Linked DNA regions of Pelodiscus sinensis. The protein of the gene in region 2 binds, or shares a complex with, the protein of the main gene of each other region. Links are inferred from orthologs where the notes say so. Each region holds a gene or a part of one and is shown on either strand. Other genes may lie near its edges.

Evidence for each region.
Region 1: the proteins of PLXNC1 (region 2) and SEMA7A are in contact, whole or in part, in a crystal structure (PDB 3NVQ), measured with the Homo sapiens proteins. The link is inferred for Pelodiscus sinensis from reciprocal best matches to the Homo sapiens genes PLXNC1 and SEMA7A. Residues at the interface, in NP_005752.1 of Homo sapiens: Arg131, Thr151, Glu152, Val153, Asn195, Pro196, Ala197, Ala198, Ser199, Asp200, His201, Thr203, Ala206, Lys208, Arg213, Ser214, Leu215, Ala216, Thr217, Gln218, Glu219, Leu220, Arg222, Lys224, Glu272, Ala350, Ser352, His353; in NP_003603.1 of Homo sapiens: Gln194, Tyr196, Asn197, Gly198, Lys199, Arg202, Arg204, Tyr213, Ser215, Asp216, Thr217, Gln270, Gly271, Gly272, Glu273, Ser274, Ser275, Leu276, Val278, Ser279, Lys280, Pro372, Thr375, Glu376, Phe378, Gln379, Asp382, Arg383.

The regions. Positions count from the first base shown.
Region 1 is NC_134724.1:35,579,972-35,594,906, reverse strand, and holds the start of SEMA7A (semaphorin-7A), read right to left. Parts: upstream 7,877-14,935; 5' UTR 7,866-7,876; coding exon 7,715-7,865; intron 1-7,714. UniProt on the Homo sapiens protein: Plays an important role in integrin-mediated signaling and functions both in regulating cell migration and immune responses.
Region 2 is NC_134711.1:80,309,511-80,324,571, reverse strand, and holds the start of PLXNC1 (plexin-C1), read right to left. Parts: upstream 6,798-15,061; 5' UTR 6,654-6,797; coding exon 5,682-6,653; intron 1-5,681.

The DNA.
Region 1 (14,935 bases), on a different chromosome or scaffold from region 2:
TTGGGACGTTTGGCATGAGGAAGAAACGCAGTGAGGGGAAGAGACTCTCGGTTCTGCAAACCAACCCTGGAGGTGAGGAGGAAGAGTTTGGAGAAGTTCAGACCTTACGGAGGAGAAGGGACCTTCCGCGTGATGAGCAAGGGGCATCGCCCACCTCTTTACGGGTTTCCTGCCAACCATTCGAGGTACTTCCCTGTGTCCCCATCACTGCATCAATGAGTCCTTTCAGGTGTCAGGCCCCTCGTGGGCCCCGGCCCCTCACTTGGGTGAGGGAAGGCAATTCTGACTCTAAGGAATTCAGTGTCTCATCCAAATTGACCCGCCTTCCTCTCTAAGTCACAGGTAGTCACTGATCACTTGTTTACATTCCTCCCTTCCCCGTCTGGGCCAAGTCATGGTGCAATCACCACAGGACGGAGTATTAGCTGCACCCTACACCGGGAGTGAGTGATCCACATGAGACTATCATCATGCCAGCTGGCAAGCCTTTGTGACTTCCTGTTCTCACCCTGTGAGTCACACGGTATTCCCTTGGGATATTTCATGGGGACAGTCATCTTGAAATCCTCCAAAAAGTGCTTTGGGATCTCCAGATGAAAAGGGCTAGGGGACCGCTCGAGAGGATCATGCTTTTTGCTCCCACCAGGCATGACGGAACTGTGGAACTCACTGCCACATGAAGTCCCTGACTTCTCAGGATCTTAACATTCCAAAGTGGAAAGGAGCGATCTGGATGGATATCAAAAGTATCCAGAGCCCATTATAATTAAGGAGAACAATTTTGGAAGGGGTGTTAAACGTCAGGGCTTCGGACAATCCCTAACCACCAAGGGCGAATCCTTCTACAGGGGCAGATTATCCACCTTGGTTCCTTGGTACTCTTGCATTTCCCTCATGCTTTGGGGGCAGGACAACCCTCAGTTCTGGTCCCACTGTGCTATATAGTGTCCAGGCTGTAATACTGAGCAGGGGCCAGTCCCAGAAGTCAGGCTCTTCACAGGAGCCACCTTGGGCAAGGCAGCGAAGGAGCCGGGGCTAGCTGAATGCACGGGATTCAGCTGGAAACTGACGCCGATTTATGAGTCCTACCTGCCAAGCAAGGCAACCTGAACCTTCCACCGTTTATTCCCAGCCCATGTGTTTGCTTTCCCTTCCTGTCACAGGAGGGGCCGCAGGGGAGAAAGCCACCTGCTGGGTTTGTTGAAAGCACTGTGCCAAAGTCACCCTGGGAAAAGATGAGCACAGCGCAAATCGGGACTGCCGGGAAAGGAGCTTTCCACTGGAAACGCTGACACACCGAGATCCGAGCCGCTAACTTCGCCCCAAGTGCCCAGTGCTCCCGGGGGAACAGGGCTGCAGTCATGGGAACCCAGCTGCGGAAACGCCATGTGGCTTCCCTGCTTTGATTCTCCCTCCCCCTCTGTGTCCCAGCCTCAGTGCCTGGGAGAACGGAAAGGTTCCCCACAAACCCCTGGAGCCCACGGCCTGTGGGCCAGGCTGACGACTTCCAGGCAAGAGGAGGCGATCAGCGTGAAGTGACCCTAGTCACTCATTACGCCTGCACGGCATGTGGTAGCAGCTGAATTGACACAGCCCATCCGCCGCAGGGGGAACGTTTCTACCAGGCTCCATGCTCCTCAACCCCTCCCTTCTGGGTGATCCAGCTCCCTGCAGCCAAGGACTCACAGAGCCAGGGAACACTAGGACGGGAAGGGACATCAAGAGGCCGTGAATCCAGTCCCCTGGCCTCGCGGCAGGACCCAGCACCATCTAGCTCATCCCTGACAGGTGTCCGTCTAACCTGCTCGTAAATATCTCCAGGGATGGAGATTCCACAGCCTCTCTGGGCAATTTATTCCAGTGTTTAATACCCCCCAACAGGAATGTCCAACCTAAACCTCCCTTGCTGCAGTTTAAGCCCCTTGCTTCTTGTCCAATCCTCAGAGGCCAAGGAGAACAATTTTTCTCCCAGCTCCTTGTAGCACCCTTTTAGTTACTTGAAACCCGCTTGCATGAAGGGTGGCTAGCAACAGCCATGGGCTAAGACGGTAACTCCCTAGAGCAGTGGTGCGCAACCTGTGGGTCGCGACCCCCAAGGGGGTGACGGATGTCTTCCCAGGGGGTCGCGGCGCTTAGATCTGGCCGGCCAGGGACTGGGTCCAGGATCAAAAAAGGTTCCCCTAGAGAAGCAGATGCTGGCACAGCACAGATGCTGGGGATGGGCACCTACTGGTGACACACCATGGTTAGTGAGAGGAACAGCTGGGCTGTCTCATTCCATCTTCAGCTAGGACTTCAGTGGGGTGATCCTCAATCGGGGGTCCCCACCCCCACACTTGATAAACTTCACAGACCCCTAATTCTCGTCCTCTGCCACCTCACATTGAGAAGCACCTCAACCAGGAAAGACCTGCCCAGCGCTAAATAGCACCCAGCATCTAGAACAGGGGTGGATCCGGCCCCCGAGGCTCACGCCCCCCCCCTGCATTGGGGAGCCTGTGCTGGTGCCCCATACCCTCCCCCGCTGCTCCTGGGGCTAGAGCACCCAAAATCTACTAGGCTGGCCCCCCGTGGTCTCTGGTGTGGGAGGGGAATGTGGGAAGGGTCTTTCTGCTTCCTAGTCGGGCGCCATGTCAGCGAGGGGTTTTTGAGTGTGGCCCCCGCCTGATTTTTCCGTGGGGCAGTGGCCCCTGACCCGAAGAAGGTTCCCCGCCCTGATGTAGAAGATGGGTTGGAGGGATGGGGGCCACTGCCCCACAGAAAGCGACAAGCGCGCTGGGTTTGGAGACCTGTCAGCAGCGTATCATCCAGGGAGCCACCAAAACCAGCTCGCCAGAGTCTCCGAGGGGACGGCCACCCACCCCGCAGCTCAGCCGATCTCGCCTGGCCAAGAGGCGGCTTCACGGAGAGCTGTGCAAGCAACATGCCCCGCCCCCGGGACGTAGTGGGGGGCTGTCTGCTCTGTAGCCAGGGGTTCCCCTGTGCTGTGAGGTGCGGTTCCCACTGACTCACCCACGTGTGGAATGACCCAGACACCGAGTCCCAGCCTGAGCAGATAACAAGGCTCTTCCCAGGGGGAGACACAAAGGAGGGGAGGCGGAGACGGCCACCTGGCTAGGGGGCAGGGCCTGGGAGCCGGGCAGTTTTTTGCAGGAAAACCATGAAGGGAAGAAACTAAGCAGAGTTCTGGGGGTTGAGCAGCCCAGGCACCCCTACCCCAAGGGATCTAGGGCTGCCAGCCCGACTCCTTACGTTTACACACGTCTAGGCTGCGCTGTACCCTGGAGAAGCAATAAGCCCTCTCTGTTCTACGGGCTGGCGGAGTCTCATCTTGCTGCTACGGTGGGGGGGGGGCAGGATCAGGGGCATCCCCGACGTGCCGCCCCCTCCCCCCCCAGGCAGTGTGCTAGTACTGCTCCACTTCAACCTGTACACCGATGACTCGCGCATACAGAGCAACGTGCAGAGGCTTACAGACGCCGATGAGCTAGGCAGCATGGCACAGGAGAAAAACGTGGCCACTGTTGAGAGCAGACTGACGCCTGCCCGGGGCAACCTTTCAGCATATCCTCATTCGAACCAGCTGCCTGTCAAACCTCAGGCAGAGACGCACGTGTCGGCCTTTCACTCCCGCCATCGGGAAGCCAAGCAGAGACTAACCATCCTCTGGGCTGGTACTAGAGGGGCTAAGGGGCCATCCCCTCACTTTTTAACAGGGGCAGAGTTTGGGGGCGGAGGCAGCCTTGCCCCCTGCAAGCCTCGGGCAGGGGCTGAGCTTCACGATAGGGAAGCTGATCTGCAGTGCTGCCCCGCACCTGCCCGAGGCTTGCAGCGAGGGGAGTAACACCCCCAAACTACGCCCAGGTTGAGACGTGGGGAGACATAGGGGTCATAAACAGGTGTCTGCAGCCACACCCACCTACCCTTCCCTTATTGCTAACTGGGAGTCGGGGGATCCTGGCGACGTGGGGGCCAGACCCCAGTGCGCTGCCAACAGTCGTGCCAGGGAGATCCCCTCTCAGCGAGATACACACCTGCCCCTCAGCCCGTCCTGCCCCACGTGGCTGGGGTAGCTTCCGTAGGGGCATTTGACACGCAGCGCCACGTAGTGGCTGAACAGTGGCATACAGTTGGGCCTTTCCTGACACCTGCTGCCATAATGCATTAGCGTGGCCGGCTCTGCTCTCCCGAGCCCCCGTCTCCCACCTGGGTCAGCCCTCGGGGACCGCTGGCCAGCAGCCCTCCGAATCATAGGAGCCTAGGGCGGGCAGAGCCCTCAGGAGTCATCGAGTCCAGCCCCCTGCCCTAAGCAGCAACAACCCATTGTGCACCCTTTGCACCTCTCCCCTTGGCTCTCTCTCCAGACAGCGCCTGCCTCGGAAGCATGCAGGCCAGAATGCCTGGCAGATGAGGCATCTCCCTCCTCCGCGGGTGGCGCCTGAAGTCACACTGGCCTCTAAGCCGTGTCGGATCTGACACGCCGGGGCTCAGCGTGGGAGCCAAATGCTCCTAACCCTAAAGCATAGCCTGGCACCGCGGCCTTTAGCTCTGCAAGCAAAGCCAGGGACCACAGTGTCCCAGCCTGCAGACACTTCCTTCTGCACCAAGCGGGGGAGTAACCAGGCCTCCGACTCTGATTGGGAGGCTGGTTTGCGACACTCCAGAGTTCCACAACTTCCCGTATCTGCGCGAGAAATGTGCCGTGCCAGTCGCCCACGGACCACCTGGGCCTCGCTTCCGCACGGGCTTTGGAGGGAGCTGGAAAACCCTTGCAAGTAGAAATGAGCCCAACGAGCTTTGGGTCCAGATCTGGACTTGCCCGTCCCCCATGCGAAGCTGCAACTGAGGAGGAGCAAGTACCCGGCTGGGTCCCCAAATCCCTGCGTTTACACAGTGCCAGGCGGCACCTCTGTCAGATCCCTCGGCTCGTCTTCACTAGAGACAGGCAGGGCTGCTAGACAGCCCTGGAGCTATTTAAAGGGTTACCTATCCAGTTTCTATACTACAGGTCCCATCTCTCTTTACAGCACCGGGCTGGGGAGCGCTACCCCACAGAGGGTGGCTTTGCAGATAGAGGCAGCAAGGGGCGAGGGGAGAGGAATCCCCAGCTGATCCCGGGCTCCACGCTTTCATCTTTGAAGTGTAGCAACAGCCCTAGCAACTTCAAAGGTGGAGGCGCCCTATTGACTAGGCGATGCAAAATGCATCGCCTATTCGATTAGTCAATTAATTGATACTCGACATCCGTAGCGCGCAGCCCATGCCTGGAAACGGAGCTGTATCGAGGATGCGTTGGAAATGCTGGGGGAAGGGAAGGTCTGAGCATCCTGGCCGGCTAAGGGCCTTTGTCTGAAATGACATGATCAGTATTGGAGCAAGCCAGCTGAACGGGGCCTCTCTGCCTTGGGGAGCTGCCTGTTTTCCTCTCTCTGCTTTGGGGTTCTTGTGTTTTTCTGAAGGCTGAGAAATAGAGTCACGCTGTGGTGCCCACACGGGTGGCCCATGCGCAGCCGGATGTTGCTGCTCCATTTCAGGCATGTTCATGCCTCCCCTCATGTGCAGCAACATTGGGCAAAGCAGTTTTCTTCACCCCCCAAACTTACGCCGCCTTTGGGAACCTCCAAGCCCCCTTTGGCGAGGAAGGGGCCCCGTCTCCAGCCTGACATGGGGTCATCGCTCTGGAAGAGAGACGCTGAGCCAGTGACACCAGCCGGGGAAGGGAAAATAAAGCCTGGATTATGGTTTTGCCTGAGGCGCTTTCCTCCGGGCTGGCTTTAGTAGCACAAAGCTCAGGGCTGGCCCTCCCATGTGGCGAACTGAGGTGGCTACCTCAGGTGCCTGACTGTGGGGGGGGCGCCACTAGGACCCAGAGTGTAGAAAATTGTGTTGGCTGCTGGTGTAGGTAGCAGAGCAGTCCCATGAGAGGAGTAGAACAGGAAGAAGGCAGAATTGAGACCCAAGCGAGGGGATATGGGAGCATCATTTGAGCTCCCCGCCTCAGGTGCCAAAATGTTGTGGGCCAGCCCTGACAAAGATTCCACCCAAGAGTGATCGGCTCAACATATTGGGTCTTGTTCCCCCCCGCCCCACTGCCACCAGGAATCAAGTCCCCAAAAAATCCTAAGATTGGCATAAAAAAATCCTGAGATTTGAAACAACAGGAAACATCAGGGTCCGTTTCCTTTGCCTCCTACATCTGAGCCTTCAGGGTCTTAGGCCAAATGCTGTGGATTTTTTCCAAGGCCGGGAGGGCTAGAAAGTTGAACCAAAGCAGCTAATCAGCACCTTGCAGGAGCAGCGGCTTGAAGGAAAAGCGCTAACAATCGCCCGTCTCGCGAATGCGCTCCAAAGCCGTGTTGCCCTGCGTCGCATGCCAGGGAGCCCATCTCGGGGCACACGGAGGAAGACTCTGAGAGGATAAACAACAGCATGACAAGCAGCAGGGGGCACGGCCAGAGAGAAACAGGTGCCAGAGAAGCCAGATTGCTGCTCTTCCCACTGGGGCACGCTCCCTCGGAAAGGGGTGTTTCCCCCTCACATGTAGCCAAAAGCAGGTGATCTGATGGTTTTTTCCTAAGAGGGAATTCCATGGAAATTATTCATCCCTTCAACACTCACTGCCTCAGACAATCCCTGCCAGGGATCTATGTCTTCATTTCCTTGTATCATTGGTCTGCATTATTTACAGACACACAAAGAGAAGATGACAGCATCAGCTCTGCCCTGGATTACCTTTGTCTCACTCTGAGGCCTCAATATTCCCCACCTGCTCCCAACGCCCTGAGCAGCTGCTTCCGAGCCGCACGGCTGAAGAACAGCAGCCAAGCTGGGCCAGAGCTGGGGGCGAACGTGCCCTCCACAAAGGGGACAAAGGATCCTGTACCGACAAGCTACTTGTCACACCGGCTGACAAGAGCATTCGAGCCCAGCTGTCTGCGTGATTCAGACAAATAGCGTGGAATAACATCTCAGTCAGAAACACCGCTGCGCCTTCTGTTAATGCCTTCCTATGCGACGTTAACCAGGCAGCTGGGGCATGGAGGGAAGAGACATCCATAAAAGCTATTTTACTCTATACATTCATATGGGTCCCTCGGGCACTTTGCATACACTTCCTCCTCTGCAACATGGATCCTTTGTATTAAGGGATTTGTCTTGCCTCAGAGCTCAGTTCCTGCTCCAGGAGACTGAAGGACTAAATGTTCCGCATAACTAGCGCAGAGACAGCCGGCCAAGTCACTCTAACACATAGAAAGATAACTGTTTGACATGGCTTTTCAGCTGCTCAGTGTGTGTGTTGCAGCAGGGACAGTATCTCCTACAACGTCTCCACAGGGACTGGGTATTAACAGCCGCCTTAAATTCTATTTGTGGCGTTTAGAAAGGGGTTGAAATAAAAAACCACGGAAAGGTCAAGAAAAAGAAGGCACCTCTATGAAAATGAAGAAACTGATCAAGGGGGAGAAAGATCTTAACACACATCAGAAAATGGCCAGGTCCTTTTCCTATAGCACAACCTCAATCTCCCTGCGAGAGGCCAAAATGAATCAAGACTAAGCCCCCCAAAGCGACATGATACAGAGAAAAGAGAGAGACTGTTACACCAACAGGGATAGTCTCCCTGTGTCTGTCAAGTACACACACACTTTGTAGATTTCAAGGTTCCTGTGAAGCAGTGCAAGGCTCAGGCAGGCAGCTGCCGTTTGAATCTTACCTTGTGGAGCTGTGAGGATAATTCTAGGGTTTACCGTGGAGTACCCAGCTGTCAGGAGAAACAGGTGGCTGGTCCATAGGACAGAAAGACAGGCAGTGTGCGAGTTCAGACCCATCTCTCCTGCAATCTCTCCGGCACAGCTTGGCAGCATACTTCTGCCAGGATAGCATAGCAGTTAAATATACCGAGTAGGCGGGCCTATAGGTCCCTTAGCCAATCGGAAGAGTTTAGTTGGTAAACTAGCTTCAATCCTCAAGCTGTTACCCCACTGGGAAAAGGGGTTATAAGAGCAGGCCCCCAAAATCATGAGATTGTCTTAAAAACGGTGAGCTTTGGAATAGAATACAGGGGTGATTTTTCCCTTGCCTGTCTAGCCTTTGGGGCTCCTGTTTACAAGCTCCTCCTCTGCACCCACAAAGGATAGAAACTTACTATTTTGTCAAGGAAAGCTGAAATTCTGGCATATTCCCCTCACTCTGGTGGTTCACTCCCACTCCTGTGAGGCTCACTGTAAAAGTCACAAAGCCAGCAATGGTCTGCCACAGAAGAGGCAGCGTAGTTTAGTAGGTAGAGCACTAGACTAGGACACAGAACTGGATTGTGTTTCTGTCTCTGCCACTGGCCTGCGGGGTGAGCTTGGGTGAGTCACTTTGCTTCCCATGGCTCAGTTTCTCTATCTGTAAAATAGGTCTAGGCTTGAGGCAATTTACCTCATCCAAGAAACCTGTAGCCCTTGACATTGGAAAAAGGAGATGATGTCATTATCTCCCTCCTGTACTTCCAGTTTGACATGTCTTCCTTCCCCTTCCATCCTATGTTGTGCTGCCCTTTTGCTTTTCACTTATAAACAGCTGTTACGTTCCACTCCAGAAGTGGTGACACGTTTGTAATGGGGTCCAATTTTAATGTACCACGCTGGCAACAGGCAAGAGCCGAAAAGTGAGCGCAAGGGTCATTCGTGCCCACAGCAATGCCCCTTTACACTACATGAACCACTGGGCCATCATTTAGAAATCAGCAGCGTAGTACATAGAAATAAGCCTCCATTCCTAGCCCCCAGCAGCTGTTGAAGATAATAGGAGACTAAGAGGTTTTTTGCACCCACTGTTTGGGCTGTCTACACAAAAGCGACATTACACAGGGTTTTCAAGGGCGCATTGTTATCTTAGCTCGGCTTTTGTGCTGGGCATTTACAGGAACCCTTTGCCAGTCGTGGTGGAGGACTCCTGGCACCACTGCAAATGGCAACATTTGTGAATACTCGGAGCCGCGGCTTCCAGTCCCCACAATGACCTCCCTGCTGCTCCTGAACTCAACGCAGGGGTCAGGAGCTGCTCGCTGCGGGGGTCAGGGGCCGTGGGGAATTCCGGGCAGCTCTGGGCAGCTGCAGTGAGTTCCCCACGGTTTCGGACAGCGGCAGGGAACTCAACACAGGTCCGGGAAGCCACCGGGAACTCACCGCAGGTGCCAGTAATGGGGCGAGTTCCCCATAGCTCCCATCCCCCACCATCGTCCCCTCTCCCAGTCCAGGCAGGAGACTCTGGCCAATACGCAGAACCGGGAATAGTGATCCCATGAATTGTGAGGGTCTCCTATATACAATTAGTCCCCATGTTTAACCTCTCTAGTCCGGCAACATCCATGGTCTGGTATGATTTTAGTTAGCCAGATGTTCACTTATCATGGGTGTGGCCAAATTTCCCCTGGTCCCATAAAGTTTATTTACAGCCACCAGGCCTGGCGCTCAGTGGTCTGTGCTGTGAATTAGCTCTAATTTACCCCTAAGTGTCTTCTAAGAACCCAGTAAGCAGTGGAAGTGTTGGTAATGCGGCTAGACAATATCGACCTCCTATGCTTCGGAAATTCTCTGGTTCGGCAAATTCTGAGGGTGCCAGAGAGCGGTCCAAGCTGTACTATTTTTACAACATTACCCAAGTCAAGACTATCTGAATGCGATCAGCATTGTAGATCACATAATAACAAATATGAAGCTATTGGTTCACATTGTGATTTTTTTTGTCCAAATAGGTAAATCCTGGCAAATTCAATTAACATGGAAAAGAGTGATCTCGGAAAATGGTATTTCATTTCAACTAATAGTCTGAAAGGGAGGTGGAGTTGGCAGTCCCGAAGATGCCATTATGGTCCCCTGAACCGCTGGCTAGTTGGTCGACTTTGTGGAATGCCAAAAGCAGAACGAAACCTGAGACTTCTGGTGCTGAGTGCATGAGCCTCTACACAGCAGGAGCTAAATGCAGCTGGCTCTCAGCTAAGGAGCACGCTCATTCTTCCTAAGATGACTAAGTACCACTACATGGAGCAAGAAACTGCACCCAAAAGAATTGATTGCATCAGTCATCAGCATTCCTGAGGCATTTACCAACTCCAGACAGGTCAATTTTCAGGCGAGGGTGAGATAAGAGTCTCACTTTGATTGTAATAAAAAACCACAATCGAGTCTTGCATGAGCTGCATCCATACATTGGATAGCCCAAGTGCTTTTAGCCTGGCATGAAGAACTCATCTCCGGGCCACAGTGTTTAGTTCTAACTCACCCAAAGTTTGCGAGCGTCCTCATCAAGGGGTCTTGTTTCAGGGCCTACCCTAGTCACTTAGCCTGCCATTTTCGAAAGAACCGCGTCTAGACTGCGGTTTTACTTTCGAAATGGCGCTTTTTCAAAAAAGCGCCATGATGCGATTATGCAAATGAAGGATGGGAAATTCAAATCCCCGCCCCATTTGCAAGTTCCAACTGTCTAATTTGCATCCCTGTGAAAGAAGGGATGTAGTCTAGACCCAGCCTTATTGGTGGGAGCTAAAAGATAGAACAGGAAAAAAAGAACATCCGAAGAAGTGGGGTTTGCCCACAAAAGCTCATGATCTGATATATATTTTTGTTAGCTACTAAGGGCATGTCTATACTGCAGGGCAAAAGTCGAATTAAGCTCCGCCACTCCAGCAACGTCAATTGCGCCGCTGAAGTCAAAACAGCTTCATTCGGCTTATGGCGCTGTCTGCACAGCAGGAAGTCGAAGGAAGAGCCCTCTTCTTCCAACGTCCCTTACACCTCGTGAAATGGGGGCGATAGGAGTCGGAGTAAGAAGTCCTCCAGCTCGCCGTTATTTTGGAATCACAGCTTGCTGTGTAGACGCGCTCCCTGTCATTTCAAAAGAACGTCGGTTATTCCAAAATCACGCTGCTGTGCAGACGTCTCCTTCGGTGCCACAGGTCGACTCGCTGGTTTTAAAGTTACAGGCTAACACAGCTGCCCCTCTGAGACACGGAGGAAAAAACCTCTTCACTAAATCCATTTTAATCTCTGGGTTTATTCCGGAGCGTATGCCAGACACACAATGGTTTTATAAATAGCTTGAACTCCAGCCCAGCTCTCCAGCTAATCACTGTCAATGTTTCTACCAGACAGTTCCTTTTATTTCTAGATGTCTGTTTTCATGCAGCTCCCTATGGGCAGGTCCTTGGGTCTTGAGAGAGATAATGTCGTCCTAACATTAGCAGCCTTTCGGCCTTTCAAACACTTTCCTGCAGCCCTTTCTTTGACTTACAGCCCTATGGTTCCCCTGGGATAGCACCCCGGCCAGAGACAACTCAGGAACCTGAGACCCTCTACTCTCAGAGAAGCAATGTACCCCCCTCCTCATCAATTTTACCTTAACCACTGCTCCTGTATAACACACAGCACTTGAAAGATAGTGGTAGAAATGTAGCCGTGTTAGTCTGGTGCAGCTACACCAGACTAACACGGCTACATTTCTACCACTATTCTACATGCACGGCACTACATTTAGCCGTTTGGAATGGAAAACCATATGAAAAAACTTGCACAGATGCAGACAGACATCTTCTTTCTATCCAAGTGCAAGAAGATGGACATCGTACCCAAAGGACTGAAAGTGAACAATCCATTAAGATCAACATACTTTACTGACTACAGTGAAAGACTCTGCCTCACACTATCCAAGAAATTAAGGAACCACCTGATAAGTATTTTATACAAGAAACAGAAAAACTTCAAGAATGACATTTCAAACTTAGAGAGTCTCATCTCAAGACAAACATCCACACCGACTAACACCTTGCAAGACTTTTGTTCCACTTGAAAGATAGTTGGTTTAAGTAGGAAATAGAGCTCCTACTAGAAACAAGAGAGTGATGGAAACAAAAGAGTTATAATACAAACCAAATCATCAAGCACAGAGTAGGGGCTACCCTTACTCCACTTTCCCATAGAATAAAAGATGATTTTCCCCTATTAACAAGTGTGAAATATCAGGACTTCTTTTTTCCAGAGGATCTGGGTCACAGCTGTTTATAAAGGACAAAGCCCCTAGAAGATCCGGTAATATTGGCACATCTGGTCATACAGATGGTCCCCCCAAAGTTCAGTCTGTTGCAGAGCTGGCCATCAAAGGACGGCCAAGCAGCATGCAGCCCAATGAAAATAACTTGCAAACACAGAGAGGAGATGGGAAACAGGTCAATCCCGCTGGAAAAAAAAAAGATCGTTGCAGGTTTCATCATTCAGTTTTATATTGGGGGGGGGGATCAAAGTGTTGTTCAGATTTTAGGATTTGTTTGCGCAGCGAGGCTGGGCGATTTGCGAAGGTTTACCTTTAACTTACAGCAAAAAAGCATGCTGTGTGTGTGTATGTGTGTTTTATAGACTCAAATGGCTCGCTCCCCTCTGTGCCTCTGAAAATCTAACTTGCTGAAGGATTTCAGAGAGAAGGTGATAAATCCCCAGTTGGTGTTCTGGAACTGTGTACACAGCTGTCCCATAGTCCTCACGCCTGTGCACAGTTCACGCTCTCTGACGAGGAGCGGGGGGTCTCTCTGTGTGGGTCTGCCCCGAACGTCAGACGTATATTCGACGCAAGGAGCTAGGGTATCGTTACACTCCTCACGCAGGCAAACTTCGCCACACGGTCAGCAGAAGCTTTGGGTGATCAGGTCTCTAGGCAAGCGGGGAATGCATTCCATGCGGATGTCTCCTCCCCAGCAGGCTAGCAAGGCCCCGAGTCAGCCAAGCACATGAGCACGTGCTTCCAGGGGACTTTCAACACACGCTCAGCCCGGGCCAAAGTGCTTTGTTGATTCAGGGCCAGAAAAAGCACCGGAGCCAGGAGAGCAGCTGATTGTAAAGCCCTTGCTGATAACGGGAGACTTTCCAAAGATGCCAGCGAGTTCTGGCTCGGGTCTGGAAGGAGAGGGAGGTGAGAAGCGTCCGGAAGAGGGAGGCGAGCCAGGCTGAGCGTCCCAAGCAGGGAGCAATGGCAAACCAAGGCCACCCAGGCTGCTGTTGTCTTTCAGTGTGGGGTGGAGGCTTTTCGCTGGCAGCCCCGGAGCTGGGAGGTGAAGCCCATTTGGGGTTTAATGCTGATCCCTACCGAGGAGGCATTTTACAACAGGCCATGCCAGGCGCAGCACTGGTCTTTTAAGACTAAAGACGTGTGGGCGCTCAGATCCTACAGTGCAGTACCAGGGGAGGACGATATTGCTATTTTGACAGTGCCCAGGCTAGACTAGAACCAGCAGCCCTGAGCTGGGCCCCAAGGCAGGATTTAGACAGGACCTGCCCTTAAGAGTTCAGCTACTGCTTGTCTGTTTTGGGGCACACTTGAGTCTGGCTGCTGCGCTGCTGCACTAGAGTGCCTCCTAGTGTCCCTGGTGCAGAACTGCCAGCACAGGGTCTGATATTTCTATCAGGGGTCTCCAACCTTTTTAGGCACAAGATCACTTTTTAAATTCAAGTCAGTCCAGGATCTCTCTCAGATCCCTGCTCCACCCCTTCGCTGAGGCCCCTGCACTCCTCACTCTGGGAAGATGGGGTACAGGGGAGGGGGACAGAGTGACATCAGCACCCCCTGCCTATGTCTGCCCCACCCTGCACAACAAGCAAGAGGCTCCCGGGGCAGCGCTGAGGCTCCGGGCAGGAACAGCAGGGCAGTGCGAGGAGGGGCAGTTGAAGTGCTGGTACTTGACAGCCTCCCAGCCATACCTGTCAGGGTCACCTGTCAGAGGCTCCACGATCTTCTGGTAGATCCTGATTGACTGGTTGGTGACCGCTGTTCTACATGGTTCCTTTCACCCAGAAACCCCCAAAGCACTTTACACAAAGCTAGAAAGCCAGTTTCCATGCAAAGCCAAATTTTGTTTCCTGCTCCAGAGTTTCCTGTAAAGTATTGTTGTCTCTGAGCTGGCAGGTTCAATCTGGGGATAAGGTAGAATTTTTCTACCCAATTTGAGATGCACTGGAAGAGGGGATCCTGAATTTTGATATCCTGGACTCCAGCAATCCCCAACCAGTATGTGTAGCACCAGTGATGTGTTTGGCACCATGGACCAAACCAGCTCACGGAGCGAGCCAGGGGATGTAAAGTTGTCTTAAAATACCTTTACCCAGGCTCGCTCCGATTGTGCGCCAGGCTCAGGTTGGTCAGCCCAGAGAACCCAGGATGGACTCCAGCCTGATGTGAGTGGCAGAGTTCGGCTGTTATGAACACACAAACGCAAGGAGTTGAATACAGAAAGTAGAGCAACACCGTCTGTCTGAAGTACTGTCATTGCTCATCAGATGCTCAGACCAAAACTAGCTGAGCCAGATGTCTGGGTTCTAGCTTTATTGAGCAAGGGCTGGAGTGAAACTAGAAATGAGGAAGATTCCAAAGATATTCAAAACGTTATTCATGGATCAGCTGTCTGCCCTTCCTGGAAGCTTTGCAAGTCAATTTGAGGCAGGTATCAGACACCTCCGTGGTGGATTTGGTGCAGTTTCGTCTGAATTGTGACATTCAGATGCCAAGGCAGACCCGCACTGGAACCTCCCCGGGGTACTTTAAAGAATCACATTTCCCTTAATAATAGGCAGCAGTTTTAAAACAAACAAAAAGAAGTTTTTCTTCACTCAGCACACAATCAATCTGTGGAACACCTTGCCAGAGGATGTGGTGAAAGCTACGACTTTAACAGAGTTCAAAAAAGAGTTAGAAAGTTTATCCTGTACAGACTACCTCAGCTACTCCCTGAAGATTCATGGAGGTTAGGTCCATCAATGGCTATTAGCCAGGGTGGGTAGGAATGGTGTCCCTAGCCTGTTTGTCTGGAAGTGGGTGATGGGAGGGATCACGTGAGGATTACCTGTTGTGATCACTCCCTCTGGGGCATCTGGTATTGACCACTGTCGGCAGACGGGACACTGGGCTA
Region 2 (15,061 bases):
TTTATTAGGGCCCTATGACAATCTCTAGTGACATATATTTGCTATGGAAGCCTATAGAATTATCAAACACTAAACATAACACTCTCTCAGTTTGGTAATCTGCATTGAATGACTGAACTACTACAAAACTAATATAAAACAGTATTTTGAAAAACCTAAATCTTTTCTTAAGAGGCTCCTTGAGGGACTGCTATACAAAAATTTAAATCCTTTATCTCTGTAAATTAATCAACCAGATTCTCTGCTATACTGATTTGGTTCAATTCTATTGACTTCCATACTTTGACTTCAACAGAACTATGTCAATTTACACCATCTAAGAAATGGATCCAAGGTTTCTAGTCATGCCTGATGAATTAAGGGACATATACTACAAAATCTACCTACTAATGTCTTATGACTGTATGAGCAAAAGGATTGTTACAACTCATAAGCAATATGACATAACAGACAGCAAACCAGCAAAAAGCTCTTATCCTTCAGCAGCCATTTAGATCTTAATATTTTATAACACAGAAGCATCTTAATATACAATATGGCAAACGCTCCTCTTCACCATATAGATACACACTTGAATAAGAATTGTACACTGAGAATTTTCCTTATAAGACTGCTCATTCCTTTTGTTTGCAACTGCTGAAATTACTTCCAGGTTCTTAAATGTAGAGAGGTAACATCCTAAGCTGCTCTTTTTAAGTATGCCCTCCTGCAGATGGTCTCTAATTTAAATTCTCAGTATTTACAGGGTCATGTCTGCTAATCTATTATGCACATAATCTCTCACCAGGATTTGATATTCTAGTAGTTTCTATATGGCATGCTCAAAGCCCACAAAAAGGAAAGACTCTCAGGGTATGTCTACACAGCTGGGCTAAATTGACACAGCTACATCAATTGCTTAGCTGAAGTTGAAATACTTTAATTCAGCTTTTAGCTTTTAACACAGCAGGAAGTTGAAGGAAGAACGCTCTTCCTTCGACTTCCCTTACTCCTTATGAAATGAGGGGTATCATGAGTCAAAATAAGAAGTCCTCCAGCTGAACGTTATTATGAAATAACACTACTGTACAGACATACCCTCACTGACTTCAAAGGTCATTCGAACAGATACCCAGTGGCTGTGTCTACACTGGCCACATAAAACGGAAAAGCCATGCAGATCAGGTAAGTCAGGATAGGGAAATCCGCGGGGGATTTAAATATCCCCCGCGGATTTAAATAAACATGTCCGCCACTTTTTTCCGGCTTGGGGAAAAGCCGGTAAAAAAGCGTCTAGACTGGCGCGATCCTCCGGAAAAAAGCCCTTTTCCGGAGGATCTCTTATTCCTACCTCAGGTAGGGCTTTTTTCCGGAGGATCGCGCCAGTCTAGATGCTTTTTTTCCGGCTTTTCCCCAAGCCGGAAAAAAAGCGGTGGACATGTTTATTTAAATCCACGGGGGATATTTAAATCCCCCGCGGATTTCCCTATCCTGACTTACCTGATCTGCATGGCTTTTCCGTTTTATGTGGCCAGTGTAGACACAGCCAGTGTGTTTCATGTATTTTAGCCAAAAAGCTCCCATTTCAGAATTGCATGCTTCAAAAAATGCTCACTGGCATGCAAACAAATTTCTGAAAACAAATTCAGATTTAATTTGGTGATTTTGCATTTGAAAAAGCATTCATTGTTCTGAGAATAGAAGGTGCTTATCTGTATATAGTTTCTATTTTGGTGTTCATTAAGACATATATTTCAGTTGTATTTTTAATTAGATATACCCAAAATTAAGGCAACAGAAATTTGGATCAGAGAAAAATTAATCAGAGCAAAAGGTTACAAAACTGCATAAATGATGCTTAGTTCATCAGAGAGCTATAAATTGTATATATATCGTATATTGTTATACATGTAGCAACATAGCACAAAATGCCATGTGAAAATCCCACTATATGAAATCAAAGCATAATTGGTCCAGTCATACAGCCAAAAATGCAACATATGACATAATGAGCATTGGAGTCATTTTTAAAAGTACTTGTTTGGAATGCTACTCTTAAATCAATTGCTAGAGCGCAAGCACAATTCCGGTCAGCTATAATAGCAATATTATGTCAATCACACACCCTGATACACCCACATCCCCTCTGCTTTCAGCCCAGTAAAGTATTAACATCTATTCTTAATTTTAATCATGAACAGTTCCTTTCAAGTCAGCTTGATTATCGGCATGCTTAATGTTAAGCACCTGCTGAAGTGTTTTGCTAGATTAGAGCCAGAGTGTTCATTCCATTTAAACTTTCAGTTTAAATGGAATATGCAAACCACTGTAGCATGAAATGTAGGTATATAATTGATCCAGTGTGCATATCCCCCTAGCAAAACAAACCCTTTGCATATTACTCAGAACCACAACACACAGGCAACATTCAGGAAGTGCAAGCAGTGGTGTGAATGTGAACAAGTGGGAAATTCCCACACAAGTCAGAAGAGTGCTGTCACAAAGCTGTGGCTTATAACTATTTTACTGTTGCTGAGGGCTGCACTCCAATATAGTACCACTTTGAGAGCCAACATGATAGGTCTAAGTACACAGGCCTGGATGGACCATACTATTTCACTGATTTAGAACACAGTAAAGATAACTAGGATTTGCAATTTATTTTGAATTTAAGAGTTGCTGCAAAAGGCAGGGCTCTGTTCAGATAAGTCCACCAGCCACACGAAAGCTTAGAGCTCCAATTCCAGGAAGCAGTAATAATACAACATATTTTGGTGCCATGACTGCAGCCAGATAAGAACCACTGCCCACTATCTGCTGTGTTTCCATTCATCTTCTATGATGCACAGTTGATGTTCTGGGATACACAGTTCTCCTTCATGCCCAAAAGCCTTTTTGATTTTTAAGTTTTGCATACTCAGTGACAATTTGTGGGGTTTTGTTTTGTTTTTTGGCAGATTTTGAACCCATGCACACTTCTGACTCAAAAGGGCATCACTTTATGGAAGTGAGCCACCTTGCACTTTGAGTGGCAAGGACAGAAGAATGCATGTAGAAATATCTGGAAGATAAAGAATGCAAGCATGAAGTGAGCACACATGTTCTGTGTTTGCCTATTCTAGAAGCTGGTGTAAAATAACTTTTAAAAACTGAATTGCATTTGTTTTTATGCCTTTCCTGTAAATGTATATAATTAATTAATTAATTAATTATACTAAAGGGAATATCATGCCTCCTTTGGGGTTGGCATCATACAACAATTTTGCCATGGTATAACACAAACTCAAGATTTATATAATCTAGCAAAATGTTAAACATGACTGTACTACCAGTGTAGGTAGGAACCAGAGATGATTAACACTGTCAGTTGGGCATGATTAGCTCTAGAGTTCCAATTAGTGACATGTTAAAACATAGTGATAAGTCTATATTGTCTGCAATGTTGTGTTTAGCATCATGTTAAATAACACAACTGCTCATGGTCATATTCTAATACAACCTAATTTTCCAGTAAAGATAAGCCTTTTGAAAGATGGAATTTATTGCTATAATAATGAGACTATAGTTGTAATCTAAGCCAGAACTAGTCCTCAAAATAATGAATGTCAGTGTACCATATTTAGATATTTAGATAACATAGTGATGATGACAGCCTTATAGACTCTAGTACAGGTTGAACTTCTCTAGTATGGCACCTCTGGTCCAGCAACATCCATGGTCCAGCATAATTTTAGTTAACTGGATGTCCACTTATCATGGGCATGGCCAAATTTCCCATAAAGTTTGTTATAGCCATCAATCCTGGATGTTAGTGTTCTGTGCTGTTATTTAGTTCTAATTTACTCCTAAATGTCTTCTAAGAGCTCAGAAATATTGGTAATGCTGCTAGACAATAATGACCTCCCATGGTTCAGCAAATTCTCTGGTTTGGCACCAGTCAGGTTCCAAGGGTGCTGAACTAGAAACGTTCAACCTATATTTGCACTGCCTTACACCCATTTTCCTAAAAGTCACAACTATAGTTCTCTAGTATTTCTGATATGTGAGTTGTCCAAAATATGTATTCAGGGTTGGGGTTTTTTTGTGGATTGCTATTGGAAGTATATTATTCACTTTTGCCATGGATTAGAGTCTCACCAAAAAAAAAAAAATCTTAGAGCGCCAATAAAGAAATCATGTAAATACTTAATAATGAAAGAACCAGAATCCAACATTCAATTTCTTATTAACCATTGTTTGGGAAGGGGAGAGTTTTTATTAACTCGTTTCATTAATTTTACCATCAGTAATCAAAACAATCAAAGTGAGTTACTGACACCTGAAAACGGAGGGTGAAATCCTGGGTCCACCAACATCAGTGGGAGTTTTGCCACTAATTTCCACACAGCCAAGATTTCATCCACCTAGTCTTACAATTCCATGTAGAAGGGGACAGATTTTTAATTATATTTGATGTGCCTAGCTATTTTTAATATATTTGACACTTATATTGCAGCTTTTATTTGGAAAGGTCTCAGACTGCTTCCCTAATGGTGGTTAGGATAGCAACTTCTCATGCAGTTTCCAAAATACTTTGTCCATTACTGGAGGAAGCTGCCCAATGGAGAAGAGGCAGGGGATCAAACTGCGGAATGCTTGGGTGTTGGAGGATCTGTCAGAGATCAGTTCTCTCTCAACAGAGGGCTGGTCCCCCTGGTTCTCTTTCCCATTCCTTTGTGCTCCACTGGCCACAGCCCCCAGAATACCACAGGGCATTGGGTTCCACAGTGCACAAGAGCCCCGCAGAAGCAGTATTTCACGCTGAGTTCATTTTCCAGCAAATTTCCCGCACAATTTACCAGAAAATAAAGCAAGGCATGGTTAGTCATTCTAGCCCTCCAGTCTTGTGTGGATCCCTGACTCCACAGATGTTAAAATGACAGGAGTGAGAGTGTTGGAGAAGTGGTTGACCAGGGAATCTCCCACAGGATAATTAATACAAGCCCAAGGTTAGAAGACAGGATTTGGCTTTATGCTTCTAAAAAGCAATGCCTCTGTGGAGAGGAGTAGCAGCCAACATCTACTGTTGTTGCCTTTCCCCTAAGCGCTGTCCACTCGTCTGGCTGGCCTTAGTCTGTATGCCCATTAAAGCAGGGAATATCCTTGAAGGACTGGAAAGCACGGGGCAGTGGGCACTGACATAAATAAGTAATAAATAATGTGAAGAAGACAGACCCTCAACACACTTCACAACAGCAGTAAATGTAGCAGGCCAAATTAATCTTTGATGTAACTTTAATGATTCCACCAGTCTTGGGTTTCTGCCTAAGTGAAATCTTTAGTATTCATAATTACTATTTATACAGCTGTGGGGGAGGTGAAGCATGACTAGATGGCAGGAGGATGTAGGAGGCTGAGCCCTAGGGACTCTGAAGCAAGGTTCTCCTCAACTGCAATCCTGGTCCTAACCTTTCTTTGAGATGTAACCCCGAGCGGGTCTCTCTCTTCCCAGCTCTGTAAGGGAAATGACACGACCTACCTCAGGGGCCAGCCACCACACAATGCCTAGAGGACACACAAAGCTCTAGCCATTCTCTGTAGAGCCAGGTCCCTGGGCGCGGGCTCCGGCTCAGAATTCCCTTGGCGTCCAGGGGCTTTCGGACGGGGATTTTGGCGGGGGCCAGCTCCGCGGGACGCTTAAGCGAAGTCAAGGGGAGACTCACACAATTGGGGGATTCATTGATTATCATCTGATCGCGGCAGTTGCTGCCTGTCGTCCCGCTGTGGTTAACCATCTCCTGCGTGCTGAAGATGCAGAGGGCGGTAGAGTTCCAGCTCCTGTCGCTCTGCTTGGTGCTGAAGACCCCGGCCCACCAGCCCTCCGCCCCCAGGAGGCTGGAGGAGAGCAGGATGCCGCGGCCGCCACAGTCCAGGCGCACCTCTCCGAAGTGGTTGAAGACGAGGGCGGACTTCTCCGGGATCCGCAGCAGGGCCACGCTGGGCTGCGCCTCTGCCTCGCCGAGGGGGTAGTATGGGAAGAAGAGGTGCTTGTCCCACAGGAAGGCGTCCACGAAGTGCAGAGGCGGCTCCTTGCGCTTCACCGTCGCCGAGTCCCCGCTGGTGAGGCTCAGGTCCTGCAGCCGGCGCATGGTGAGCGCCGTGTTGGCGTCCGAGACCGAGGACACGCAGATGGTCTTCACTTTGGGCACCTGGTAGGCGGCGGCCAGCGCCAGGTAGCGCTCGGTGTCTTCCAGCGGCGCGAAGAGCAGCCCGGTGGTGGAGCCTTGCGGCAGGCAGCTCACCACCTCGCTCTGGTTGGTCTGCGGCTGCAGGTCGCTCAGCTGCCGCACCTGGCAGCTGCCGCCGTGCAGCGTCCAGCCGGTGAGCAGGCGGTCGCCCTGCAGGTCGGGCAGCAGCAGCTTGTTGCGGGTGCCCGCCGGGTGAGTGCAGTTCTGCGCCCCCTCCAGGAGCCGGAGGCCGAGCTGCTCCTGCAGGGACGGGGACAGCTGGTACAGGCAGTTGCCGCCCGCCAGCAGGAGGCTGTCCCCGGTCGCCGCGATGTTGTCGATAGACAGAGGCTGGGGCAGGGCGAAGCGCTGCTGGCTCATCACCACCCCGGCCCCCGCCAGGGCGAGCAGCAGGGGCAGCGCCTGGGGCGCGGCGGGGCCCGGGTGCCGGGGATCCTTCCTGGGCATGGCCGGCTCCTCGCTCGGCTCCGCTGCGGCTCTAGCTGCCTGGCGGCGGCCCCATACTGTGCCGCGGGGCGGGAGAGACGCTGTGTCGTTCAGCCCCAGCTTCCTCTGTCAGGCTGCGGCGATGGGAAGTTCCTCTCCGGGAGGCAGGGCTGGGCTCCTGGGTGGGGGCTTGGGCCTTATTTTTGCTCTTGCGCAAGTTTCCTTCCCCACGCAGCGGCACACCCTGTGCCCTCAGGAGCCGGGGGGTGGCGGGGGCCGCTGCCACCTGCCCAGCTCTGCTCTTGGCTGCCCTGCAAACCCTACCGTAGGGGCTCCTGCTGTGGGGGAAGCATCCGATAGCTTCTCAGCCTAGATGGGAGCGAAGCACACCTGTGCGCCCTGCAGCCGGGGGGGGGGGGGGGGGGAGGGAATGGAGGTTCCACGAGAGCATGGTTGGTGCCCTCTTGGATTAGAGGGATCAGTGAAAAACCAGGATTTGGGGAAGGAGGGAGGTACAGTTGCATAAAACAAAGCCACTGATAGCAGGATGGTTTTGACAACATCGGGACATCTGATCACCCTAATTTGGACTGCCAGGCTGACCCCAAGTTGTAAATCTCTTGCGGGTGGGAGGAAATAACTTCGGAACCAGGGGCTCCACACACTGCTGATTTTCCAACATGGATTATTAGACAGTAGCCCTGGCCCGCAGGGAATGGTTATGGCTGTGACTTTTTCTAACCACCTCACTTTTACTACAGAGACCTATTAGGAGTTTTCACAACAACTTTTAGTGGCCTGGCAGTGGAGCCCCTAACTTTTGCTGACAGGCACTTAGACAGTTTTTCCTAAAATACTTAATTTTAGGGGGAAAAATACATGTCCAAATCAGTGTAATTTATTTCTATAGGGAGTGTTGTATACTCAGTAATAAAAATACAGTTGTGTCTATTCATTACTGGATCTACACAGAATAGAAACATAAAGAAGGTGTTTGTAGATTCTTGTCTTTTTTTATTTCTTTTGATTCTTTGGTTGTTTTAGACTTGCTAGCTCGTAACTTTGCTTTCCTAAAAAGTGATACTGGTGTGTTAATATCACTTTTTTACAGTTTCCTGACTAGCTTCTAAAGTCTGCTGTGAAAAGTCACATTAACTGACATACAAACATCACTTTTCACTGCAGACTTTGTCCCCAAATGCAGACCTGGTCTAACCCAAACTATGGTATGCAGCTCCAGCTACATGACTAGCAGACTGGAGTTGACGCTCCTGTCGATTTCCCTTTCTCCTCATGACCTGGTAGAGTACCAGATTCAACAGGAGTATGATCAGCTGTCAATTTAGTGAGTTTTTACTAGACCCATTAAATTGCCCCCTAGGGAAGTCAATCTCTGCAGCTTCAATCTCTGGTAAGCGGAGACAAGGCTTTACTCAGCCACAGGAAGCTTGGGGTCAAATTAAGCACTGATGAGGAAGTAAGTAGGGAGACAGGAGCAATATAGGGAATGAACAGGAGCCCGGAGAGTCAGAGAGGACCTGGGGGTGCTGAGGGAGGCAGTGAGGGTCAGGGACAATGTGGTAAATGGGTGAGGGGACAGGGTGTAATGGGGGACAGCACCTACCTCTGCACAGTCAGGGTCTGAGCCTGAAGCCCTATGGATAGAGCCTGATGGCCAGCAAAGGCAGCAGGTCCAGGGGCAATGGGGAAGGGATGGTAAACTCCCCAGCTGGAGCCTGCTGCCTACCACCCCAAGGCTGAGGCCTGACCCTACCACTTCCAGGAAGATGGGGAATCCACTGGCTGGCTGCTCCTCCAATGTTTCTTCAGAGGAGGACAGGGTCTAAACCCCTGCTGGAGGGTCCAGTGGAGGAGCTGCCTTCTCCCTCCCTCCCCCACCCCATAACAACCCTTGAGGCCATAGGTGATAACGTCTTCTCTAAACAGGGTATTTGACCCACCCCAGGCCCCGTCCCCATTTCATCCTCTTCTCCAAGCAGCAGCCCACCTCTTCCCAGCCCTGCTCTTTCCTGCCTCTCTCCCTCCCTCCCCCAAGTGCACTCCATCCCTGCCCTTCCACCTCCTGGAGTGTCCTGCACACTGCAGAACAGTTGTACATGGTGGGCGAGAGGGGCTCAGAGCAGGGGGAGCAGAGGGTAGAGCTTGGCTGACAGCGGGTTCTGAACACCTGCTCATTTTTTCCATGGATGCCCCTGCCTGGAATTCCCACGTAATTGACACCTATGCAGGAGGCTGTAGCTGCAAGAAAAACCCTTGATGGCCACAGGAGGCCATGAGAGGTGCTTTGACAAATCCTGCCCTAGTTGGCTTCTTAAACCCAAATATTGGTGTAATAAGAGGAGGGCCTGAAACAAAAGTGCATGTTAGTTAGGCCTCATTCCAGGCCTGTGCAACAATGGACAAAACTTGGCTAATATAAAGCAAAGCTAAGCTGTGAGTAAGAGGCAGGCCCCTGCTCACAGAACCTGGCATGAATTGGGTTGAGGATGCAAAATATGAATTGGTAGTAGGCCCAGGTGTAGAACAGTAATTGGTACTGATTGTAAGTTGAAAGTACATTCCAGAGGATGGTACCACCAGCTCATTAAAAAAAGACCTTGGTACCCACACTCCCCATAGATACCAACCGAAGTTTAGGAAAGGGTCTAAACTGACAGTATGATGGTCAGAGATATTCTAATCGAACCACAAGGTGCAGGGGTGATGGGTGGTATATAAGCATCAGAGGGTTGTAGCCTGACACGTCTGGAGTGACGTGTAACTTGTTTGTACCTGTATATAAAGTGGTGATCAGGGGGAGGGCAGTGGAGGTCTCCCACTGATCAAGTCCGTCCATTGTTATGGGTTACATATGGATCAGTAGAGTCCTCTGACAACTATTACAGTACTTTGCTTAACTATAAACCTGTCTGGGAACCTTCAATCCTTATCTGATTTGTGGTCCTTGAGGGTTCTCTCAAAGTCTTCTGTGTTAGCTAATTGTGCAAGTCAACAAGGCACACATCTTTGAGCACACTCGCAAGCAGCCTTTTGGTTATCATCATTGATGGAGCAGGAACCCATTAGGACAACCTCGCCTGAATAGCTACAATAGGCTTCTGCTTTCAGAGCATATCCAGGCTAATTTGGGATTCTTGCTAACATTTATTTCAATGCAGGATGGCCCTTCACACACCGTCATTAAATTAAAATAGGGGATTTTATATACATTTTTCTGTCTCCCTAGGACAGGCATGTCCAAAGTCCGGCCCGCGGGCCAAATGCGGCCCGCGGTCGGATTTAATACGGCCCCCCGCTTCTCCCGGCTCCCCGGTGCTTTTTTTAACTGGCGCGCTCAGCGCGCCGCTTCGGGCCACCGCCGCCGCCGCGGTCCCAAACCCTGCCCCTGCACTCCGCTTTGGGGCTGAGAGTGCAGGGACAGCCCCCGCTTCCTCCCCCTCTCCTGGCTCCCCGGCGCTCCTCTGACTGGCGCCGCTTCCGGCCGCGCTGCTGCCGTCCATGGCAGCCGCTGCGGTCCTAAAGTCCTCCATGTAGGGCACGTCCGCAGCCCCGCTCCCCCGCTTGGCTACGGGTTCGCCCTGCCCCCGGGCCGCCGTGAGGCCAGCGTGCCCTGCGCTCTCCGCCTGCCTCTGACCCTGCAAGCCCTCTACCTTGGGGCTGAGAGTGCAGGGACGGACTCCGCAGCTGCTGAGATCAGGGACTGCCTTTGAACCAGACCTAGCCTATGTACTGCAGTCCAGATCTCAGTTTCACCCTTCACATTAGTGTAGGCAAGTTTTTTTTTCAATTGAGATGAATACATTGTAAAATCTCAGTTAATGTCAGTTGGTCTAAATCAGTTATAAATATATTTGGACACAACATGTATAGTTGGTGTTATGTCGTTTGCCGTTTGCAATAAACTTTGCATAAAATAGTTAATTTGCATTTAATTTTAATGGTTCAAAGAATGTCAGGCAAAATGGTCGGCCCTCACGCATGTTCACTTCATCAAATCTGGCCCTCTTTGAAAAAAGTTTGGACACCCCTGCCCTAGGAGCTGCAAAATCCCCACACTACTAATTTCAAGGAATCATAAAACTGTGATCCTTTCTACCTCTAGTTCTGTTAGAGTGGCATTTTCATAACAGTAGGGTAAATTAATCCCAGACTAAATTCCCCTTGTGGATATAGGATTACATTGAATATTGTGTTTTTTGCTTCCTTTCCTATGCTGTTGCAACACATTGCTGAATGTGATTAAACAGTTGCTGCAATTCACTCCCCAAAAGATAGTTGCAGTGATTTTTATTTTGTCTGTTAATAATTGTAAAGCCTGTTGTGAGTCCATCTTTGGGTGGCAGTTGTCTAATTTAGTGCTTCCTTCTGCAAGGTGCTGAGCACTGTGAACTCCTGCTGCAGGCATGGATGCTCAGCACCTCGTAGGACTGGCCCTTTCGACTGTGTGCTCTTTGAAGCCTTCTAGATCATTTCCAGTAACGACCTCAACAAAGCAGAACCAAGTATTGCATGCTCAGCAAACAGCTTTTGCTGAGTCCTAAATAAAGATATATTTATGCAAGAAAAGAAACAATATTTTATCAACATCTCCTGAAACTTCTCCCACCCTACTGGGGCAGATTTTAATACTACAGGGGCAGTGTGAAGTAGCCTTAAATGTAAATAAGAATCTGGGCCCAAATTTGCAAATAGAGGGTAAAACACAATTTAAATACATACATTTCCTTCCCCAAAGTGAAGACTGCATCCTTCAGCAGTAATTGCTTAAGGCAATGTATTTTGCCCTGGATCTGAAGCAACACTTAGCACTAGCACTTTTCTGGTTGCAGCAATCAGTATTTTATGAGAACATTAACTGGAGAATGGTCTATGGCAGTGTTTCTCAAAGTGGTCTGCGAAACCACGTTGAGAAACTGTTAACTAGCTGTACAGGTTTGTTTACTTACTAGTGCCACAGCCACGGAGCTTCACAGCTCCTATTGGCTCAGTTTCGCTGTTCGCTGTTTGCAGCCAAGGGGAGCTGTGGGAAGCCATACCAGTGTGGCCAGTTAGCAGACCACTTTGAGAAACACCGATCTATGGTAAGGCTCATGAGCCAGGTCTGATAGTTTTTGACAGTGGATGGCAGTAAAATGTTTTCAGATTTATAAATGGAGCTTGGGTAACAATACAACAGTTAAGATTGTTTTGAGAATATGCATCATCATATTTTACAAATGTACTTTTACTTAAGGGATTGGCTGCACTCCACAGTTACAATTTTTACTCCCTTGTACTTTAATTTTTCATACTTACTAATTATCGGTCATTCCTTTGTATACAATAGCAGCAACGTTCACTTAAAGTCACCACACACTTGTCTGCTAATCCACAGGATATCTGCAATCTTAGTCAACTGCCAACTATGGTATGAAGTTATGAAATTGGTAATGGCTGGGTGACTAATGACAAATGTTGCAATTGTACATAAAAGTGAACATTGATATTTGCATGTGCCACAAGATTGTGAAATAGTGAAATCATAGAAAAGAGTTGAAAGGCACTTACTGTGCAACTCCATACTGAAGTTGCTGGTAACAATTCCATAGTAAAAAGCTGAGGTAAATTCTGAACTTTAAAGCAGAAGTTCATCATTTGTTATTTATTCCTTGGAGAATTCTGCATGAGAGAGAATCCATGTCAGAAAAATGGGGAAGCAAAGAATTCAGTGAGAAACAAACACCCCTTTCTCAGCAGCCTGGATGCATCCGTTTGAGTGCCCGGAGCAACCAACAAAGATATAAATCAGCATACAGGGCACTGGGCATGTGTGCTTGAGGAGATATCATTTATCTCTAAGGCCTGGGGGCAAGGACTGGTGAGCATACATCCATGCAAGTGAGCAATACTCTAGCCTCGTCACTTGCTTGCTGTTGTGGCACATTTGGCGTGTAGGGCTGGGGCATCAAGTTGTTCATCATTCGGTATGAGGCAGGCCTCGGCAGCTGGGAGAGGCTGTGGGGGGAAGAGGAGAAAACGCCCCTGGTGGCTGGAGGTAAGAAGTAGAGAAAAGGCCTGTGCCAGATGGGACCCCCTGCCCTGAGCTCCTCCTCACCCCCCAACCCTCAATTTCCCACCTCCAGAATTCTGCCTTGAAGGACCCAGGCAATGCCAGGTAAGTCTTCTAGTAAAATATATATTAATTACATTTGTGACTAACTCCTTGGGAGAGAATTATCCGCATGCTGTTCTGTTTTACCTTCATTCTGCCACACATTTCATGTTATAACAGTCTTGGATTATCATTCAGCACATGTGCATTTTAAGAACACTTTCGCAGCAGATTTGACAAAATGCAAAGAAGGTGCCAATGTGAGATTTCTAAAAATAGGTACAGCACTTGGCCCATGGTTTAAGAATCTGAAGTGCTGTCTCAGGTTTTGGACAAGGGGCGGAGCATGCTTTCAGAAGTCTGAAAAGAGCAACACTAACATGGAAACTACAAAATCCAACCCCCCCCCCCCCCACAAAAAAAAAAAAAAAAGAGAAAGTCAGCCTTGTGCTGGTGGTATTTGACTCAGCTGATGAAAATGAGCATGTTGGTCCACTCTGCTTTGAATCATTACTGAGTAGAACCTATCATCAACATGGACGCATATCCTCTGGAATGGTGGTTGAAGCATGAAGGGACACAAATCTTTAGAACATCTGGTATAAAATGTCTTGCAATGCTAGATACAACAGTGCCATGCAAATGCATGTTCTCATTTGACTTTGTAAACAAGCCGGCAGCCTTATCTCCTGCAGATTGTAACCAAACTTGCTTGAGCAATACGCTGAACACAAAGGATTAAGTGAAATGCAGGCTCCAAAATTTTATATTGTTTTCTTATTGAATGCAATTTTTTGGCATAATTCTTCATTTAGAAGAAGAACAACTTGCATGATAAAGAGATCATACTACAATACTTGCATTAGGTGAATTGAAAAAACACGTTTTTTTTTTAAAAACAGGGCAAGTATTTGTAATAAAAAATAAATATGAAGTGACACTATGTGCTGTCATAATTGAAAGATATATTTGTAAATGTAGAAAACATTCAAAATATTTAAATAAATGGTATTCCATTATTGTTTAACATCACAATTTATTTTAAAATCACTTGACACTAATTTCCTATTTTTGTTTGTGTAACTGAAGACTGCTTAAGAAGAAGCATCACAGGACAGATCTGAAGGAGATAGCTGACCACAAACCAAATGAGTCAAAAATGTAAAACTTTTGCCAAAAAAATCCCAAACAGACATCCACCACCACCACCGCCACAAAAAAAAAAAAAAAAAAAAAAAAAAAAAAAGAGCAGTGAAGGTCATTCTTGGTTGTATTAACAAGAGTATTGTTTGAAAGAATTATTGGGTTTTGCTCTCTAATCATCCCAGATAAGGACTCATCTGGAGTACTGTGCTCAGTTCTGCGCATTACATTTCAGGAAAGATGTGGACAAGTCCAGAGGAGAGAAACAAAAATGATTATTGGTCTAGAAAATATGGCCTACATGGAAAGACTGAAAAAAAACTGAGTTTGAAGAAGAGATGGCTGAGAGGGAGGCATTACTGTCTTTGAGATTGTTATAAAGAGGAGAGTGATAACCTGTTCTCCTTAACCATTGAGGGCAGAACAGGCAATGGGTTTAAATTACAGCAAAAGAGATTTAGACTAGACATTACAACATCCTGCCTATTAGGGTGGATACTAGAACAAATTACCTAGAGAGGCTGTGGAATGCCCATCTTTAGGGATTTTAAAGACAAATAGCTGTCAAGGATGGTTTAGTTGGCCTACCAACTTGGCCTACTAGATGGCTACCAAGATCCCTTTCAGTCCTACATTTCTGTGATTTTTCCCTTCCCTATTCACTTTTCATTTTGAGTCAAACACACGCCCACCACAAAACACATGCACTTCCATCCAATCCTTTCTCAATGTCTAGGCTTCAGTTTTAACAAATCATGTCAATAAACAGTGGCAACACATGGGGATTGGGGGCTGAGGGGACCCATGCTCCTCCAGATTCCACAGGCAGGAGCAGCAAGGGGCCAAGATCCTCTGTGTGGCCCTGCAGAGGGGTGCTTGGTGCCCTGCACTCACCAGCAGCAGCTAGGCGAGAGGGAAAGCAAAGCTCCACTCTTCAGCAGAGGCACCATTTCAGATTTTGGTGGGGGTGGCCAACCTGTGCATGTTGTGATGGGGGAGGACAGTACAAGCATGGGGCAGGGGGCAGCAGACTGAGGAAAAGAGGCTTTAGCAGTGTTACTGAGCATGCTCATACAAACCAATCAACCCTATCCTCCTCCCACCACACATTTAATCTCTATCCATGAACTACTAAGGCACTGGAAAACTTCATTTTTGGGCAGACAACTTAGCA